2 linked regions of the Notamacropus eugenii genome follow. The protein of the gene in region 2 binds, or shares a complex with, the protein of the main gene of each other region. Links are inferred from orthologs where the notes say so. Each region holds a gene or a part of one and is shown on either strand. Other genes may lie near its edges.

Evidence for each region. Proteins that work in one complex are often made in the same cells at the same time.
Region 1: the proteins of KRAS (region 2) and RGL1 are in contact, whole or in part, in a crystal structure (PDB 7SCX), measured with the Homo sapiens proteins. The link is inferred for Notamacropus eugenii from reciprocal best matches to the Homo sapiens genes KRAS and RGL1. Residues at the interface, in NP_001356715.1 of Homo sapiens: Ile24, Gln25, Glu31, Asp33, Pro34, Thr35, Ile36, Glu37, Asp38, Ser39, Tyr40, Arg41, Leu56, Tyr64, Met67; in NP_001284600.1 of Homo sapiens: Ile651, Arg653, Asn660, Gly661, Asn662, Met663, Tyr664, Lys665, Ser666, Ile667, Met668, Lys685, Asn687.

The regions. Positions count from the first base shown.
Region 1 is NC_092873.1:461,403,472-461,413,975, forward strand, and holds the start of RGL1 (ral guanine nucleotide dissociation stimulator-like 1), read right to left. Parts: upstream 4,901-10,504; 5' UTR 4,772-4,900; intron 1-4,771. UniProt on the Homo sapiens protein: Probable guanine nucleotide exchange factor.
Region 2 is NC_092874.1:180,486,453-180,497,597, forward strand, and holds the start of KRAS (GTPase KRas), read left to right. Parts: upstream 1-6,965; 5' UTR 6,966-7,093; intron 7,094-7,512; exon of another isoform or gene 7,513-7,590; intron 7,591-10,819; 5' UTR 10,820-10,830; coding exon 10,831-10,941; intron 10,942-11,145. UniProt on the Homo sapiens protein: Ras proteins bind GDP/GTP and possess intrinsic GTPase activity. Plays an important role in the regulation of cell proliferation.

The sequences.
Region 1 (10,504 bases), on a different chromosome or scaffold from region 2:
CTGTTGTTCTCCACTTCTGCTGCTCCAGAATTTGTTGAGAGTCCCTCTCTACAGGTATTTTATGGGCTGTGTGGAGAGAGCCTGCATATGTGTGTCTTTCTACTCTGCCATCTTGGCTCCACCCACTCATTGTTTTTATCTTTAAAAATCCAAACCTTATTATTAGTTTTTGAAGGTACAATCACTTTTACTACCTCTATTCTCACAGCCCCCTCAGTCACAGAAAGCTTTTTAATCTGTTGTACTGGAGAATTCCAAATGACTTGAAAGTACCTCCTTAGCTAATGGTGGCATCCAAGAACTCTCTTATGGTGTTTTTCAGAAAACAATGTTTTTGACAATCTCAGCTTTTTAACAGTCAATTCAGTGATTTATCACTGATATAGACAGTTCAAAATACTTTGCAAATTTCAAATATGTACATACATACTCCAACAAAACCAAACAAAAATACTTTTAAAATCTTAAAAAAAAAACAAACCCAACCCACTAAAGAACTACCGGGAGTTCTTGATTCCTTTAGTTTACTTCTCTCATACTCTTTGTAGACATTACTTAGAATTATAACTGATAGGCAGAAGAAACAAGTTTCAATCCCATTACCACTATTTTATTAACTATTTTACACATCTGAAAAATACAAATGACAATATTTATATAATGGGGAATAGCTACTGAGTTTCATCCTTATGAGCATGTATAGAGTGCTACTGAGGCAATAACCTCATGTAGAAAAAGCTGGGAAGCCAGTTCTGGAAGAATCACTTGTGATGACTGTGTAATGGAGATTCCTTGAAAAGACATTCTGTGATTGGTTCTGGTCTGTAAACCATATAGTGATTATGCGCCCCTTCTGATTGGCTTTGAATGAAATTTCTCTATCTCTTCTTGCTGGGTCTTGTTAGGTTTATATAGAAAGAAATGCAAATGATTTATGTGGATTTATCTTATATCCTACAACTCCATTGAAGTTACTCTTGAAATTAATTTTAGATGATTCTCCAGGGCACCTTAAATACACAATCATATCATCTGGAAAAAGTGATAATTTTGTTTCCTCTTTGCCTATGCTAATTCCCTTAAGTTATTTTTCTTAGCTTATTGCTATAGTCAGCATTTCTAGCACCACATTAAATGACAGTGGTGACAATGGACAATCTTGTTTTATATCTGATCTTACTGAAAAGTATTCTAGGTTAACTCCTTGACATATAATGTTTGCTGTTAGATTTATATAAATTTTATTTACTATATGCATTATCATTGTATTTATTATTATCCTATGTATAAAGGAAATACTTATTAATTCTTATGATTTCTTGCATTTTAATACAAATGAGTATTGTATATTATCTAAAAGCCTTTTTAAGACCTATTGATATAATTATGTGATCTTTATTATTTACATTACTAACATGGTTTATTATATTTATGGGACAGGTAGGTGGTGCAGTGAATAGAGTGCCGGGAATCGCTGAAGTCAGGAAGATTCATCTTCTTCAGTTCAAGTCTGACCTCAGACATTTACTAGCTATGTAAAGTCACTTAACCCTGTTTGCCTTAGTTTCCTCAATTGTAAAATGAACTGGAGAAAAGAATGGCTAACCACTCTAGAATCTTGGTCAAGAAAACTCTAAATGGGGTCACATAAAAGTTGGACATGACTGGAAACCGAATGAATAACAACAACAATTATATTTATAGTTTTCCTTGTTAGATTAACCCTTATTCCTGGGATAAACCTAATCTGGTCACAGTATATAATCTTTCTAATATGCCATTGTAGTCTACTTGCTAATATTTTATTTAAATTTTTTTAATTAGGAATACTGACATAAAATTTTCTGCCTGTGATTTGTTTCTCACTGGTTTAGATAAAAAACCTGCATTTCTATCATAGAAATAGCTTGGAAGGTACTTTTTTTCTTATTACAAACAGTTTATATAACATGAGGTTTAATTGCTCTTTGAATGTTTGATAGAATTCACCTGAGAATCTATCTGGCCATAGGATTTTTTCTTTGGGAGATCATTTATGACTTGTTCAATTTCTTTTTATTTCGTATTTAAATCATCTATTTCTTATTTGGTTAATCTAGTTAGTTTAGGTTTTTGAAAGTATTCATCTGTGTCCTTTAAGGTGTCAGTTTTGTTAGCATATAATTGGGCAAATTTTTTTTCTAAAACTTTCCTTTATTCTTCAATTGTTGTGAGCTCTCCTTTTTCATTTTTTGTATGAACAATTTGTTTTCTATATTTTTTTCTTGCAAATGTAAAATATATTTAAAAAAATAAATCAAGGCAATTGAGGGGAGGCATTAGCAGCTAGGGACAATGAGGAATGTTCTCCTATAGGAGATGTTTAAGCTGAGCTTTGAAAGAAATTGGGGATACTAATATGTGGAAGTAAGGAAGAAGTGCATTCTAAGATCACAAGGAAAGCCTGCACAAAGTTACAGGTCATGTATGTTGAGGAATAGCAAGAAGGCCTATTTGGCTGGATTGTAGAGTACATGAAAAGAAGTAAGGTATAACAATATAATATATATAATAAGCCTGGAAAGGTAGAGTTTATTATCCAATGTATCAAGTAACCCTCCCAGTTACATATTATCTACAAATGTAACATACATCATCTATGTCATAACGCAAGTTGTAAAACCCCTGAAGAGAATTATGCCCAAGACAGTGCCTTATGGCATCATGATGGAGACTGTCCTTCAGGTTACTATCAATCCACTGATCCCCACTTTTTGCATTACCAGTTTCAAATCCATCTAACTGTACTGCAATTCAACTTATAGCTCTTCATATTACTTACAGATAATTAGAAACCTTATCAAATGCTGTATTGAGGTCCTGAGATGCTGTGTCTGCAGCACTGCCCTGATTCATCAGAATATCACAGGCTCAAAGACTTAGAGGCAGAAGGGACCTTGGAGGCCATAGTCCAACTCCTTTATTTTACCATAAGAAAAGCGAAGCCCAGAGAGATTCCATGACTTGTCCAAAGTCACAGAAAGTAGTAAGTGATAAAGCTGGGTTTTGAACACAGGTCCTCTGACTCCAAAGCCATTGTACCACCCATCTAGTAACCCTGTCAGAAATAGCAATATATTTAGTAAGGAAAAACTTGCTTTCTAAAGAACTCATTCTGGCTCTTAGTGCTCGCCACTTTTTCTTTCTGAGTGCTCACAAACAACAATAAGAACTAGTATTTATATAGCACTTCAAGGTTTGCAAATCATTTTACAAATAATATCTCATTTTATCCTCATAACAACCTTAGGAGGTAGGTACTATTAATATTACCATGTTGCAGATGAGGAAACTGAGCCTCCTTTACTCCAGGTACTTGCACCCCTATCTGCCAACTGTCTCTTTAATCATGTATTCTCCATCTCCTCACCATGCTGGACCCCTCATGCATGCTCAACCTCCCCTTCTCCAACTCCACTTTATGTGTTATCTTCTCCCTTGAGAACACAGGCTCTCTATGGCCAAGGGCTATCTTGCTCATTTGAATGTGTATCCCCAGCATTCAGCATAGTGCACAGTAAGTGCTTAAAAAATATTTTATCTATCTATCCAATGCAGTGAGGTTCCATCCTTTCTCTTATCTTCTTCTTGCTCCCAAAGGAGCTTAAATTTTTTCTTTTTGTTTTCTTTAGCATTCATCGATAGCCTGTGATTCACTTTGTGCTTCAGTGTTTTAGACACCAGGTATATGTTTCTTAAAGTATCATGTCACTTTTGTAATCTTCCTCAGTTACTGGTACTTGCTTCCCTTTTCAGTAGAAGTCTTTTTAAAAATTTAAGTAGGTGGGTGAGATTCCTCTGTAGCAACATTTATCGTTTTGAGGGAGATTCCACTTTTCTTCATTTGGAAAACTAGGATCATAAATTTTAAGGTGAAAAGGACCTTAGAGATCATCTAACTCAACAATCTAACATTATAGATAAAGAAATTTAGGTCCACAGAGATTAAGTGACTTGCCAAGGTCATACAGGTAGCAAGTAGCAGAGCCGAGATTTAAACCAAATATTGAAATACGAATCATGGGAACCTTTGAAGAGAAGTTATCGCTCCATTTTAGAATTTTAAGAAACACTAAAGTCTGTTACCCACAAACATTTTGGGGAATATTATATCAAGGGTTCAGAGAAGGGATAGGTAAGATTACACAGGCTGTAATTTTGAAAAGGAAGTCAACCCAAGGTAAGGATGGGATGCTTTCATAGGTGAAATTCTTTAGACAAAAGCTGAAATTATCCCAATGGAATAAAACAGACAGGAATGTCTATGGAAACAAATGTGGATATACAGAAAACTCATCAACCAACTTAGATTTTTAAAATAAAAATGAAAAAAATGGAAGCAAGTGAAAATGGTGGGTAAGCTAAAATGATCACAGACTATGGTATTGTTCTAGAAATATAGTATCAAGCATGTTAAAGCACAGTGTCCCATACTTCTTTGAAAATCTCAAACTTTTCTAAAGGGTACTACAATGAAAATTAAGTCAAATCAGTAAGGATTTATAAAAAAAAATTTTTTTAATGTTTAAGTATTTACTACATGGCAGGCACTCTGCTATAGAAATATGATACAAACAGAAAGACAGCCATGCCCTTAAGGAGTATTAATTGGGTAATACAACACATAAAAGGAAGCTGAAAGAGGTTAGGGTGAGAGAAGGTAACCATAACAGGGGCACAAAGTTCAGCAAGTCAGGAGCATAGCCTGGAAAGGAGCAAAGACCTAACTTACCCTGGCATTTTCCTGAAAATGGAGGCTCTAGGAAGAATCAGCCAATCAGAGGAAGGTGCCTCAGGGTGGAGAGAACTTTAAATGTAGGAAGTTCAGGGATGAAGTGAACTTCCAGGGTGAAGGGCTTCTGTGACCTAATGGAGAAAGTCCAGAAAGTTAGGAGTAAAATATGGAAGGGAATAAAGACCTGGCTGGCCTGGGTGTTTTCCTTAAAATGGAGATTCTACGAAATGGCACAATATCTTCCTCTGAAAATTTTTCAATGATTAAATGCTTTGCAAATGTTCATGTTGTCCCTTGAAAAAATATATTGAGTTTTACTGAGTAGCTAATTTTGGGTTCATGATTTATACATGTTAGGCTTATGTATGTTCATATGCCTTCCAATTCCTCTCACTGTCCCTTGCCTTTCTTAAGAAGTCCACTGTGATCCTGATTAATGTTTCTTGGCAAGTGGTTTCAATCCTTTTTTTTTTTTTTGGCAGCTTAAAGCATTTTTTTTCTCTTTCTGTTATAATGTTAAAGTTTAACTATAATGAGCATAGTAGTATTGAATTTTGCCTTCTTTCTTTAGGAGTCCTATGAATCCTATATGTGTATTGTTGCTTTAAAAAAAAGTTATCTTTTGTTTTACTTCCCCTTCATTTCAAATATGTTCTTCCTTCTTTCCTTTCCAGAGAAATATCACTTGTAATAACAAATAAAAAAGAGAGATGGGGAAAGCATTGCTACTTATTTTTGCCAATTCTGTGAAGCTTTTTTTTGACAATTTCTTGGAATACTATTTTCATATTCTTTTGGTTCTCTAAACTTAGAGGATATCAGTATTCCTAAAATTCTGCCATGTGGTCTAACCTCTAAATTTATCATTTGATTCAGTATGCTTTCCAATTCTTTGGATAATTTAGTGATTTTCTAAATCCATATTCTTCCAGTTGCTCTCCATTGGCAGTATTTCTGTTTTCTTTTGAAGTTAGTTGTTGGTTACTTCTATGTATTCTTAAATGAACTCTATTATATTCTTGTAACAGCAATGACCCCACCACACAGAGGGGCCTGCTATTCTTAGATCTGATTTTCTAAAAGGAAAGCAACTTTTGAGAGGTCAATAATCACTTTAATCAAGCACATACATCATTCACTTAGTTCAGGGGAAAAAGTCAGCACCCTGAACTTCAGAGAAACAAATATCAACCAACAGAGAGGGCTTCCAACTATCTGACCATAACAATACATCACAGATCAACAGACAGATACAACTGTCTGATCATTGCATACATTGTTACCAAAGAGAGAAGCACCAACATCTGGGTTTTCAAAGCCAAGGGGCTCTTTAGTGGCTGCCCAGAGTCTCATCTGGCCAAACAAACACTTCTGATAAGTAAGTCCCCAAATAAAACTTCACCTCAGAGTATTTATACATTTTTCAGAGCCAGGGGGCATCACAACCCTTGAGAACCAGTGCCTCACTAGAAAATTAACCAAAGGTGTAGGCCTCCCCTAATCAAGCTTTCCTTAATGGGCAGTCCCATTAATGGGTGGGGAAGATCTTTAACTCTCATTAGCATTACAGTTCTCCATATTGGTCAATTTTTAAATTATTGTAATGCCAATTCAATGCCCACAGAAGCAGGTATGGATATGCATGCTTATTTCTAGGGTAAATTTGGATAATATAAACTTTCTTCCTCAAAGATGAAACCAAATATTTATTCAGATACCAGAAAGATAAATCCACCATAGTAACAAAGAATTCTATACATATGATCAATGCAGTCAGCACAGTCATCCCTCGAGCCTTCCCTCTGTCAGACATCCCCACAAACAAGCTCCCTTAGGCAAAATTACTCCCTCTCTCACTCATGCTAGCTGCTCTGCTCTGTCTGCTCTCTCCCAGTTGTTCTTCCTGTTCTACCTGATCCCAGTTGTTCTTCCTGTTCTACCTGATCCCTTCCTGTTCTAGCCATTCAGCAAGCTCCTCCCACCACAGGCTTTATAGGCCTATTAATGGATGGGAAAGATCTTCCCATTCCATTAGAAATATGTTAATTCTATTAAAAATAAATTAACAATAAAATTATTTTTTCTGATATTTTAGCAACATTAGGGAAGAAAGCTATTTCACTATGTAGGAACGTAGGACAAAGGGCCTCAATTTCACCTAGGTTCTTAGTGAAACTAAGTGAAGCTCCAGGAATGATTTGGCTTGGACCACAATTGACATGATAATAGTTAAGAGCAATATTTTTACCCTAAGTTTAAGAGTAGATTGAATTCTAGACACAAAAACAGAAGATGGTTTTAGGCTTCTCTGGGTCACTAGTTGGATATGAAACACAAAGAAATAACAGTTCCAGGAAGCTATCAGCTTAAATATCTGGTATAATCCTTCCCTAACGACTGAATTTTCCAAATACTTGGACCTGCTCCTCTGACAAAATGAGATACCATAACCCCTGGGGGCCAGAACGAGGGGATAGGAAGCAATAGCCCAAATTACTGTGTATCCTCAAGAAGGACATGAAGCAATGGACAAATTTAATATATATTTCCAAATACACTTCCCCCATAAATATACCAATTTTTTGTTAGTGAAAACAAAGTTCAAATCAAAGTCAACAAAAGACACAAAAAATATATTTCAATTGATATGAATATAGGACAGCAATTAATATAATTATGTGATATAAAATGCACAAGAGAGGCAAAAATTTGAACTGACATAATGAATCTTAAAGGGAATGCGATGGCCATTGTCATGTATAATTGTCCATTGATGCAAACTCATGATGCACATCAATTAGTGTGGTCACGCTACTTGTATCTGATCATAAAGCACAAAAGTGCAGACTCCAAGTTAAAAAATTTTTGTGCAAAAGACAAAAGTACCATGATATCTTTTATATTTCTCAACATCATTCACTTTTGTAAGGACAAAATGGTTTCCAAAATCATGCAACTTTAAGAAAATTGAATATCCTGAGAAGTTATAGTTGGTTAAAATTTTCAACAATTAAATTTTTCTTAAATACTTCGTTTAATTTTTAAAATTGGCCTAATATCCTTAGACAATGAATAAGTAAATAGCCATGTTGAAAAGAAAATCCACTGGAGCAACTGAATTAATATAAGCATGGACAATAAAAACTGCTTAAGTAGCAGAAACATAGAAACAAAAAAAAATAAAAAGGCAAAAAATCCAGAAAGTAAGTAAGAGCCACTATATAACTATCATAAGCAGTCATAAGTACTGTGATTGATGAAGGGAAAGTGTTTAGTTTGCATGAATACTTTAGCTGCAGATAGTGTGAAACCAAATAAATAGAAACATCTTGAAAATGTACAAAAATAACATGCTGGTAAAAAGAGAATTTTTCCAAAGAAATTTATGTGATTTTTGAGTAAACAAAAACTTTTTCTTTAAGTATATGAAATCAAAATGATTTCCTACATTATATAAAGCTGCTTGTATTATTAATAATGTAAAAAGCCTCAAAAGGGGAAAAAAATGGTGTTACTTCCCACTACTGATACTGTTGAAACAATTCTGGGTAAATCACATCCAAAGATGCTTTGAATGTTTCCACTTGCAAATAAGGTGATGGGGAGAATTGGTCATATGATTTGATAACTTGAATAATTTGAATTAAATGAGGAACTAAAATCTTTATATTTTATATTGCACATGGGTAATGAAGGAGTTAAAGAGGTTCCTTTGATTTCATCTGTATGCTTTGTTGTTTAAAATGATGCTAAGAAAGATTTGTTATTTTTTAAAGGTATTCATGGCAATGCCACACTGAGTTGTCAGTATAACTGACAATTTTTTATTGAAAATTATATTACATGAATTATATTGGATTCTTTGCTGATGAATCTTAATTTTTAGAATAAAACACAGATTATAAGTACTAGTTGAAATATGGTCCTTCATGTATTATATTCCATTATATTCCTTATAATCATTTATATCAAGAAATATGAGTGAAAGGGTACACATGGTTTTTCAAATTGTTGCAAGAATAGTCAAACTGATTTGAAAAATAGTCTATTAAAAGGAAGGCTTTTTAACAAAATTACATGGTGATGTGGGGGGAGGAGTACAGCATAAGGCTTTATTTATGTTATATTTTATTATATTACATTACATCATATTGCATTTAATGATACTATATTGAAACACTACAGCTTTCCTATACCAAGAAACTTCAAAGGAAGTCTGAACTAAAAGAAGACACTGCCATTTTTCTTACTTAGTGATAATAATAAAGATTAAGCAGATTAATTTTATAATAAAAATTTTCTCCTGAACTTCATATACTTGGTGGATATTTTTTCAAACTGACTACAGTACACTAAATCAGCACAGTTTCTCTTTCTGATTCATAAAGATAAAGTGACAACATTTATGAAAAAGTTAAAGACTATGAATAATAAACTGACAAAATAACATTTTTTATATATTTCCAATGTGGCATCATGAACAGAGAGTACAACTTCAAGCAATGAAATCCTAGGTCCAAGCCCCGACTGGGACACATACTAGTTATATAACCCTGGGCAAGTCATAAAAACAACTTTTAAAAAATTTTTAATATTTTATTTTTCCCAATTGTATGTAAAGACAAATTTAACCTTTCTTTTTTACAATTTTGAGTTCCAAATTCTCTTGTACTCTAACTTCTCTCCCCCTCTTTAAGAAGGCAAGCAATTTAATAAAGGTTATACATATGTAGTCATGCAAAACATTATTTCCATATTAGTCATGATATAAAAGAAAACAGAAAAAAACAAGGAAAATAAATTTTAAAAATATGCTTTGATCTGCATTCAGGTTCCATCAATTCTTTCCCTGGAGGTGGAAGGCATTTTTCCATCATAGGTTCTTCAGAATTTGTATTGCCGAAAATAGCTCAGTCAATCATGGTTGATCATCATACAATGTTACTGTTACTGTCTACAATGTTCTTCTGGTTCTGCTCACTTCACTTTGCTTCAGTTCATGTTAAGTCTGTCAGGGTTTTCCTGAAAGCATCCTGTTCATCATTTCTGAAAGCACATTCATATTTCATCACAATCATACACAACAACTTGTTCAGACATTGCTTAATTGATGGATATCCCCTCAATTTTCAATTCTTTGCTACCATAAAAAGAGCTGCTATAAATATTTTTGTACAAATAGGTCCTTTTTTAAAAAATTTCTTTGGGATACATACAGAGTGGTAATGCTGCATCAAAGGGTATGCATTATTTCATAGCACAGTTCCAAACTGTTCGCCAGAATGATTGGTTCAGTTCACAACTCTACCAACAATGCATTAGTGTTCCAATTTTCCCCAAACCCCCTTCAACATTTTTAATTTTCCTTTTTTGTCATAATAGTCAAGCTGATGGGTGTGAGGTAGTAATTCAAAGTTGTTTTAATTTGAATTTCTCTAATCAATAGTGATTTAGAGCACTTTTTCATGTGACATCAAAGATGACTTTGATTTCTTCATCTGAAAACTGCCTACTCATGCTCTTAGACCATTTACCAATTGCAGAATGACTCATTATTATAAATTTGACTTAGTTCTCTATATATTTAACAGATAAGGACTTTAGCAGATAAAAAATTTTTTCCTAGTTTTATGTTTTCCTCCTAATCTTGGCCACATTGGTTTTATCTGTACAAAAATATTTTAATTAAATGTAATCAAAATTATCCATTTTACAAACTTTCTAAGACTC
Region 2 (11,145 bases):
GGTCAGTTGTTTGTCTTTATAGAATTAGTTTGTTTTTCAATTTTTGTCTTCTATTGTGACAAATTTTCTCCTACTTAGATATATTTAAATTTTATTTATTTATTTTTAGTTTACAACATTCAGTTCCACAAGCTTTTGAGTTCCAAATTTTCTCCCCCTCTCTCCCCTCCTACCTCCCCAGATGGCATGCAATCTGATATAGGCTCTACATATACATTCACATTAAACATATCTGCACTTTAGTCATGTTGCAAAGAAGAATTATAACCAATGGAATAAACCACAAGAAAGAAGAAACAAAGCAAAAGAGAGAGAGAGCAAATAGTCTGCTTCAATCTGTTTAGACTATAATTCTTTCTGTGGATGTGGATAGCATTTTCTATCATGAGCCTTTTGGAGCAGTCTTAAACCTTGCATTACTGAGAAGAGCAAAGTCTATCAGTCAATCATCACACATTGTGGCTGTTACTGTGTTCTGGTTCTGCTTCACTTCACTCAGCATCAGTTCATATAAGTCTTTCCAGGTTTTTCTGAAGTCCGTCCACTCATCATTTCTTATACCACAGTAGTATTTCATTACATTCATATACCACAACTTGTCCAGTCATTTCCCAATTGATGAGCATCCCCTCAATTTCCAGTTTAGATATTTTTTAGTATCAATTCTGAACCTTTTTTTTCAGACTGTGCTATTCTAGATAGGTTCCATAGCAGAAAGTATGATGCAGTAAAAAGGGCACTGCATTTGAAGTCAAGGATGTTGAGTTAAAATTATGGTTCTGCCATTTATTACCTGTGTGATCTTGGGCAAGTTGCTCTATTTCTCCAGACTTCATTTTCTTCATCTATAACATGAGGGACATCGATTAGATGACCTCTAAGGTTTTGACTAATTCACGTTCTTTTACCTGTTCTAAACTGTCTACTTAAACATTTGTTTTTTAAAAAGTTTCTTCTTTGAGAACCCCGATTTCCAAAATAATTATAATTCCACTTTCATTTCTTTTATTTTTCTTCACCTCTGAATCATTCTGGAATTTGAATACATGTGTGCAAATCTTTTTTTTTTTGCCATTGTTTAATTGTTTCTAAAGGTTCTGCATAATTTATTATATAACTTTGTATCAGTGAAAGTTTTCAGTCACTATCTTCTCCATAATATTTACTTATAATACTGTATAATTTCATATACTCTATTTTTCTTTCTTTATGAATCTTACTGTTGGTTTATATGAGTGGATCCTTGACTTACATTCAACTCTTTTTTTCTCTCTCAGCTTTCTTGGTGTCTACACCTTCCCTTGTCCAGTATTGCCTGTGTCCTGTCCAGATGACTGGGGCTGAGCTACTTTACCTATGTTATGGGGTTGAAGTTGTCATCTGGCTGGATTCATGTTGCGTGGAAATTCCAAGGGGAGGCGACTTCAGCTGTATTTATATTTTCCTTTCCCCTTTCCTTTATGGAGAAGTCTTTTCCTCCCTGTACTAGTCAGGTATGCAAATGCTTCAAGGGTGCGAAAGCTTCAGCCCTCAAGGCCTCATGGGCCAAAGGTTCCCCACCCCTGCTAAGTTTGGATTCAGTCAATGTGGCTTCAAGGCCACATGTTCCTCACCCCTCAGCTAGAACCTCATTGGATCCACAGTTGATCACTTTCTCCATCACTTGGGCAAGTTAAATGCTCTCCCTTGTTAAGTTGGGGTGGGGAGTATTAATCTGGCTTACTACCAAGAGGAAATTGAGGGAAGGACAGATGTCAACAAAGCTAAAGTTTGAAAGGTGGAGAAGGAGTGTCTTATCCAAGGAACAGAAAGGGGCCAATGCCACTGAATCACAGAATATGGGATTTGGGGGAAAGGTAAGGTATTAGTTTAGAAAGGTGAGGGAAGGGCAGATTATGAAGGGCTTTCAGCATACTATGGAGAATTAGATATCTGAACTTAGAGATGGTAGGGAGCTACTGGAGTTTATTGACTAGAGGGCAGGGGTGACGGTCAGATTTGCACTTTAAGATCACTTTGACAGCTCAGTGGAAGATGGATTGGAGTGGGGAGAGACTTGCACCAGTGGGTTATTGCAACAATTCATATATAGACAGATATAGTTCTATTTCAACGGTTTTTCAACTCTCTATTTTCCTGCTAAGGCTGCTAATCAGTATTTTTGCTCTTCAGTGAGTATTGAAACAGGCAGTGTACCATAGCAGATAGAAGTCAGGAAGACCTTTTGTTCAAATCCTGGCTCTGACATTGGTTAGCCATGTGACCCAGGACAAGTCATATAATCTCTGTTTCTGCAGATATAAAAATGAGGATAATAGTGACTGTCTCTTAGTGTTGTTTTCAGAATCAAATGAGATAATATTTGTAAAGCAATTTGCAAACCTTAAGGAATTATATAAATGCTAGCTATTATCATTATCAGGAAGGGGTTGTTATCCTGAAGAGGAGTAGGAGAAAGAAGAGTAAAAAGCGGTAAAAGCAATGATCATAGGGTAATAAATTTAGACCTAGAAGGGACTATAGAAACCATATAAATGACTCCTTCATTTTTCAAGCAAGGAAACGGAGACTTAAAGAAATTGAGTGACATCTAGTATGTATCAGAGGTGGGATTTGAACCCATCTGTCTCAAACTCTTAAATTCAGGACTCTGTGGGCTATATACTATAGTGCCTCTGTAAGAAGAGGGCAGCAGTGTCTGAATTCATAGTACTGAACAGAACAGAAGCAGAGGGCTACTGGTTGAGATACAAAGGGGGTGAATAAGAAGCTAGAAAAGCTGCTAGCACATTGTTATGTTTTTTGTCAGTTTTCAGATGGGGAGCTGGATAAAGGAGAGCTGTTTCTCCAGAATGTATTTGGGAAAGACACTCATTTGGGGCAATATTTGCTGAGAAAGTTTCTGTTTCATTTCCTTTGTTACAACTAATGATTTTGTGATCTTAGACCTTTAATGATCTATGCTGTGGTTTGCTTGCATTTTTTTTTCTGTTAGCATGGCTATATCTGAATATCTAGACCCCCAATTTATTTCAGATATCTTCCCATCCACGATTACCATATTATTATATTATGTTATATTAATCATATCATATCATAACATATATCATATCATATTACATTACATCATGTCATATATATTATGTTTATAATATATCAATTATATTATTTATATCAATTATTATATTATCATCAGTGTGTTTATGAAGTGAGTAGAATCTAGTCCAAGTGAACGAGTAATTTGCAAGCCCCTGGAATTCAGATAACTTGTCTTTGTTATCTTCAGGGTTAGTCCATTTCTCTTCACATAGGTTCTTGCTATTTATTAAAGATGATAAACCTAGCATTAAGATACATTGGTCTGGCAATATGTTGGGTCTATCAGAGGACAGAGAACTTGAAGGCTATTGTAGCAATCTAGGGATGGGGATGAGGACTTGTACTCTGTACTCCAATAGTACTCTTACTGTAAGACAGTGAGAATGCAGAGGAAAAAACTGATAAGAAAAGATGTCTTGAGAAGATATGATGACTTGGATGTGTGGGATGAATAATAATTTTTTCTACTCTTGAAATGTTCCCCTCCTCTTTAAAAAAATTTTTATGCATATATTTTGTTTTTCTATCACTTATATTAACCAAATATCTTTCACCCTACTCTCTTTCCAAGAGATATTTTCTTATAACTGTGGAATCATATTAAACCCCTTTTTTTGTTCATCTGAAAATATCAAGAAATAAATATTAATCTAGTCTAAAGTCCTTTTTCCTGTAGGAAAGTGTGGAAAAGGTCAATAATAAAAGCTAAGGTCCCAAGAATATGAATTCAATATGGTACCCAAACTTAGACGCCAAAAAAAGGAGTTAAGATCATTGCTTTTCCATCTCTGGAGGAGAAAGGCTGTGACCTACTTTGGGACATTGCCCTCTTCATTCAAGAAGCATTTATTAAATTCTTACTATTAAGTTCAGGGGAAACAAATACAAGCAGAAACAGCTTGCCTTCAACTAGTTTACATTCTAGTGACTGGGAAAGAATACATAGAAGGATATTGAAAAACCTGAGTGGGTGGGGACAAGAAGAAGGGATGAAGGTCCCTGGGGAGTGGAGGGGATTGGCATCAGGTCCTGGTAATGAAAGTCTGGGACAGTATGGAGAGCAGTTTAGAGAAGATTTGACTGGCCTGGTTGCCCTCCCTAAATTGCAGGTTCTGAAGGAACTAGGCAATTAGTGGGACAGGCAGTGGGGGAGAAAGGTAGCTCCTATGTGTGAAGTCAGAGTATCATGAGCTTTCAGGGTAAAGCAGTTCCTGAAACTATACAGTTGGGGGTCGATGAAGACTGAGGACAAAGGATTAAGATACTGATTACCTGAGAGAGAAAGCTTTTTTTAATCCTGGTAGGTGGGTGGGGAGTGGTCAAAAGAAGAATTGAATGCCCTTAGGAGAAGTTTTCAGTGACTTATTCTATTAGATTGAATAGAAGGTTTATTCAAAATTGAATAAATTCCTGTGAATATTACCTCAAAGTTGCCTTAGGGTAGAGAGGAGAGAGAGAGAGAGAGAGAGAGAGAGAGAGAGAGAGAGAGAGAGAGAGAGAGAGAGAGAGAGAGAGAGAGAGAGAGAGAGTGTGTGACAATATGACATTTTGACTATTTTTCCAACCTACAGATGCCTGGATTTAGAACAAGATTAAATTAATTTCTGGATGACTTCTGCTAAAAACACAAAATATAGTATTATCTTTTCTTCAACATGATAAAGAATAAAGAGACAGTTCAGCAATATTAAACAGTATCAAAGTCTTACTTCATATTCAGTGCACCACACCAATAATCCCCCACCTCTGCAAAAAGGAGCCAAGGTATCTTTTCATTTGGAGCCATGCTCGGTCATTATAATTTCACAGTATTCAGTTGGGATCGTTTTGTTCTTGCTTTCTCCCCCATTTACATTCTAGTAATTAGTGAATATATTGTGCTTTCTTCACCATGCATCAGTTCATGTAAGTATTCCCATGCTTTTCTGTATTCATCATTTCTTATATCATATTCTATTTTTATATTTTCTTATATCACACTAACAATATTAATAATCAAGTAATATTGATTTAAATACATATAACCCTGGAAAAATAGGTGCTATTATTATCCCCATTTTACAGATGAGGAAACCAGGTTAGGAAAGGGAGTTTGAGTGAATTGACCAGAGTCACACACACAATATCAGTTTGAGGCAGGATTTGAATTCAGGTCTTCTTGATTTCAAATCTAGCAGTCTATCCACAATTCGACCTAGCTGGCACAAACAGTTCCTTCCCAGAGAAGAGGATAAACAATTATGCTGATAAAGCAAATACAAGAAAATTTTAGTTGGGAGAGAGTACTCGAGAGAAGGGGGAGGGGGGAGGGACACCAGAGTTGGGAGATTATGATAATAAAGGCTTCAGGCTGGAGGTAGCACTTCCGTTGAGCTTTGAAGGAAATAAGGGATTTTAAGAGGCAGAGGTGAGGCTGGAATGTATTTCAAATCTGGGGAACAGGTAGCCTTCAAAGACTTGGGTTCCAGTGTTTGACATCTATTGACTGGCTGACCTTGGACAAGTCACGCCCTCTCCTAAACCGCTCTTTCCTGGGTTCTTAACGCTTTTTGGGGGGGGAGGGGGAATGAAGGTGTGGGTGTGTCACAGTCCCCTTTGATAGTCTATGGAATCCAGTAGATACAGGCATGTTTCCAAAACAGTTCAGAAGGATTTGTGATTTAAAAAAATGCTATGAGAAAGAACCGATGGACTCTGAATGCAGAATGAATGAAGCACATTTTTTTCTTTTATTATTTTTGCTTGTTGGTCTGAGTTTTCTTCTGCAACTTGGCTAATATCGAACTGTTTTGAATGACCGCACAAGTGTAATCTATATAAAATGGCTTGCCTTCTCAAAAAGGGGGGTAGGGACGGATTAGGAACTCAAATTTTTTTTAAAAAAGAGTATTAAAATTTTACTGTACACGTGATTAAAGTAAAATGCCTGAAATAAAATACAAAGTTTAACAACGGGAACTCGTATTGGAGTTATTTTTTTTAAAGTTGGCGGACCCCAGCTCCAAGACTACCAATTGTGCTGCCGGTGCTCACCCACATTTGTAAAGGGGGAGGGGGCTCCCAATACCAACGGAACACAGGTAGAGAGGGGGAAGGAAGAGGCGCGGGATCGGGGACGGAGAGTCCTCCCGTGCAGCAGGACAGGCTTTGCGGGCGGGGAGAGGAGGCGCCGGAGCCGGGCTTTGCCCGCCGAGGTGGATGGACAGAGCCGAGGGCCATGAGGACGCGAAGAGCAGAAGACGCGCTCGGGGCACCTGGGCAGGCCCGTCCGCGGCTCTAGACTAGGGGCGGAACAAGGGAGCTTCTCCAGCTCGGAGGGTGCCTGCGGGGAGACCCGAAGGTGTGGCGGCTCGCTCCGACTCGATGTGTAGGAGGGGGAGGAGAGTGTCTACGACCAGAGACAAGGTGAGTGGCTGGAGAGCCGCGTGGGCGGGAGTGCGGCCGGAGGGCGGAAGGGGATTGGCCAGCTGGCAGCCTCTGTGTGTATGTGGATGGATGGGTGTGTGTGGTGGGGGGGCGGAAGGGGGCCGCTACTCTGTCAGGCTGGGCGTGGAGTTAGCCAGTGCTCTAGCCTCTCCTCCTCTAGCCTAGCTCCGCCCTCACGTGAGGTGCGCCGCCTGCCCCAACTCTCTTCCTCCTTCTCCACTTAGCAGTTCGAGCTCAGTTCTCGCCTGACTCCCTCCTTCTTTCTCTCTTCACACCGCCCTGGCCGTTCCCTCTTCTCTCTCGCCCGCCCGAAAAGAAGTCGAACGCGGAACTCATCGATAGCTCGGCCTTCGCGGCTCGCATCCATTCGCTCGGGACTCGACTTCCCCAGGCGGTGGCGGCGGCGGCGGCGGCGGCAGAGGCGGCAGCAGCAGCGGTGGCTGCGCCTCGGGCTCCGGCTCCTTCTGCGCTCCCCGGCCCCCGCCATTTCAGAGTGGGCTCGAGAGCGGCGTTAACGCAGGCGGCCGTGCGGGCCCGAGACGCAGCGTCTCTCCGGCGCGGAAGAGAGGTACGGGCCCTGCCGCCCTCCCCCCTGAGTCCCTGCCCGGGGTCCGACCTTTTCTCGCCGGCGCCAGGCTGGGCGGGGCGGACGGAGAGTGAATGAATTAGGGGTCCTCGCGGGGGTGGGGGGTGGGAGGGACGGAGCGGCGGCGAGGACGGGCTGGGGGGGGGGGGGGTGCAGGGAGAGGCTGCCGCCGCTTCCTGAACGGGAATCCCCTTCCTTCTTTCCTTTCTTTCTTCCTTCCTCCCTCCCTCCCCGGAGAGCCGGCCGGGCTCGAGGCGAGCTGAAACTCGGCCGGCCCGAGGGCGGGTCCGGGCGTGGTGGAGGTTGCGCCCCGGTCTGCCCGTCGGTGGGTCGGCGCACTCCCTCCTGGCCGGCTCCCCGCCTCGGCTGCCCGGCGACGTCCCCCCTGCCGCCCTCAGCATCTCCCCGAGCGAGCGAGAAACTTCTTTTGCCGCCGCCGCCGCCGCTAAGTGGTCTTCTTCCTTGTGAACAAAGACTCTGTGTGTGTTGTGTGTGTTTGTGTGTTGTTGGGCGGGGGGGGTCCTTTCCCAAGAGAACTGAGAAGTAGGCAGAGACTCGGTGTCGGAGGTTACGTTGGGGAGGGTCCTGCTGCAGCCGCCGAATTCCCTCTGTGGCTCGGCAAGTGGCAGCAGAAAGCTCCAGGTGGACGGAATTAAACCTGGCAGGAGTTGTAAACGGAAAATGGTTTATCCCGGAGAATTTTGCTGAGTCAAGTTTATTTATAAGCAAGAAAAAAAATCAGCCACAAACTAAAAGTGGTTATCTCTGGTGAAGAACGCAGAACACGTTCACCATCCTGGAAGTTACTACAGTAATACCGAGCTGTAACCGAACTCCAACATTTAGCAATAATGACCAGTGGCGAGGACCTGGTAGTGGCCGCCAAAACAACCTAGTGCAGCCTTTTGATCAGGTGTGTGTATGTGTTATAGCTAAAGCTGCAGACTGGCTGATGTTTACAAGTGCAGTAGTAAGCATAGAGAATTAGAGAAGGGAAAATGGCTATTGATATCCAGACAGTCTTAACATTAGTCATTGATTGATGTCCATATTGATGGACTCAGCTTCAGAATGATAAGACTTTATTCACTGAAGGTAGTTGATGGCAATTAGGTGTTGTTTGGAACCTAAGACATGTTCAGATGTAGCCTGTTTTAAAAACTTGAATTTTCAGAGAGAGGTAAATTAAGAGAATATTATTTACCTTAAAATGCTCAATTTCTTTTCTTGACTATGCACTGTCACTTAACCTCTTTCTGACTCAATTTTCTCATTTGTACAGTGATGAGCTTGGGGTGGTGTAGTGGATGCAGTGCTAGGCTTGAAGTCAGAAAGGCCTAAGTTCAGATCCAGCCTCAGACACTTACTAGCTGTGTGGCCCTGGTCAAGTCACTTAACCTCACTTTATCCGTAAAACGAGGATAGTAATAGCAGCTATTCCCCCGGGTTGTTGTGAGAATCAGATGAGATAATCATAGTTGTAAAGCACTTGGCATAGTCCCTAAAACTATCTAAAGTGCAGAGAATACTTTGGTACAGAGAATTTCCTCACCTCGAAGTTCCCTAAACCTTTGAAGTGAGAGTCTATCCCTATCCTTTGAATGAAATTAATGCAAGGAACACCAGATTGCTAAATTAGTAAAAACAGCAAGTTGATTTTGAATCTTAGCCTTGTTACTGTGAATCAGTGGGCACTCAGTTCATTTTTCTAAACCTTAATTTTTTCATTCATAAACTTACCCAGATAGCCTGAGGGGAGAGGGTTGGACTAGATGATTTCTAAGGTCCCTTTCAGTTCTAAATACTATGAACCTATAATATAAAGGATTTAAATAAGTAGATTTGAGGGGAAGACCCTCAAATGAGTAAAGGCACTGATAGAAAAGCATGTGACTGTTCAGCCACTGTGGACTCTTAAGTGTTCCATTTTGGCAGTACCATAGAGTATATGAAGGAAAGTAGTACAAGAGAAATCTGGAGACTGGAGCAGGATTGTGGAGGTCATAAATGTCAGACCAAGGATTTTGCACTTCATGGTTAACTTTCATTGAGTTAGTACTTGCTTTTTGGACTTTAAGGTAAGCAGTTTTGGGGTGGGGGGCAGGCGTAGGAGCTGGGAGTTGAAGTTATGGCACAGATTCTACATTTATTTAGCACACTGTGCTGTTTGCTAGTGCGCAGAGCAAAAGGAAAGAGCTCTCCCCCCTTCAACGAGCTTACATTCTATTCATGGAAATAGCATGGGCATATGAAATACAATACAAAGTATACACAGGATTAATATGAGTTAATTTGGGAAGGCATTAGCAACTTTTGTGAATCAGGAAAGGCCTTGCATAGGAACTGCTACTTAAACTTTGAAGCATGGTAGGTTTTCTCCATGCTGTTTGTTGTTGACATTACACAAGGAGGGCCAAATAGCACAAGATTCCTTGCTGTAGTGGCTAAGAACTAGGCTAATGCAAGTTCCTTGTTCTCATGTTGGAGGGAAATGAGTATGGAACAAGATAAATTAAAAGGCTATTCTTTACCTGGCACAAAAACTTTTGGAGCCTAAGGACATTACCTGTTGGAGAGTAGGCTGGGGAATGGTATATTTGACAAACTAGAATATTTGGATTTTGATCTGTTTGGATATTTCTTATTCTTGTGTGAGCCAAATAGATAGACCTTCTGTGTTTTTTTTTCTATGTACACTTATGTACAGACACTGAATATATTTGTATGTGCATTCATTCACACTTCAGTAATTTGTTCAGGAACTGATATCTAATTTTGGATTATTGTCAGTTCCCTTCTAAATGGTATTGATTGGCCTTTCTTACATGTACTTCTTTTTTCTTTGGTTCCATAAAGGAAATCAATGGCCACTCCATACATAAATACATATACACATAGGTTTACGTATTGCAGGGACAGGATGTGTGTATGGTAGTAGTACATGTAACGTAGATCAAATTCTTGACATTAACAAATTGACATTGAACGATTGCACCTTCGGAGGGGAAATCTGTTTCTATGTCCTTTAAAATAAATGTTTTGATTAATAAAATAATTTGTTCTTATACACTTTTAATCTTAATTTAACTTTACTTCCTTGTCAGCTTTCTGAAGCTGGCCAAGGTATACTTCTTGCCACGTATTCACAATCTTTCCTGTGGATTTTACAGTAATTGCCATCTTTTTGGAAGCTAGAGTTTCATAGAAAAATGACAATGGCAGCAGAGGAGGTATTCAGTCACTCTAGTTGAGGTTGTAGAGTGCTGTACTCTGTACTTCTAATCCCATGAAGTCATGACATATTCCAGTGAGAACAAGCTCAAAACCCGCAAATGGCCATTCTACAAAGAACTATCTAGTCAGAGTATGAGATAGAAGAACTTTGCCTGTACTCACACTGGTTTTATTTTTCTCAAAATACTGATGGGAAAGTTGTCGTAAACATCATAAAACTCAGATTTCTAAGCTATGTAGCTTATAGTATTTTAGAAGAGATCTGATATGTTTTTTCCATTGCATCCATTAAAACAAGTTTTACTAAAGTTATTTTCAATTTTCAACATCACATTTTTTGTGTATATCCTAAAAGCATATCTCATGTAAAGGTAGGTATCCATTTCATTTCTAGCCTGTCAGAAAGTTTAGGCTACATTAAATTTATGTGAAGAATATTCTGATCATGTTATTATTATCATTTTTTGTTATAAGGCCTGCTGAAAATGACTGAATATAAGCTTGTGGTAGTTGGAGCTGGTGGCGTAGGCAAGAGTGCCTTGACGATACAGCTAATTCAGAATCACTTTGTAGATGAGTATGATCCCACGATAGAGGTAAGTCTGTTTTAAATATTATATGTGTGTGATGTTAAATAATGACATACATATAATAGACTGAAGTTTTTGACCAATAATACTTAACTGAAATGTATTTCAGATCCCTTGTGAAAAATACTTAAAATTAGTATTTAATTGCTTACCTTTTTTTTGTTTGGTATTTTATTTTTCCTCAATTACATGTAAAAATAATTCTCTCCC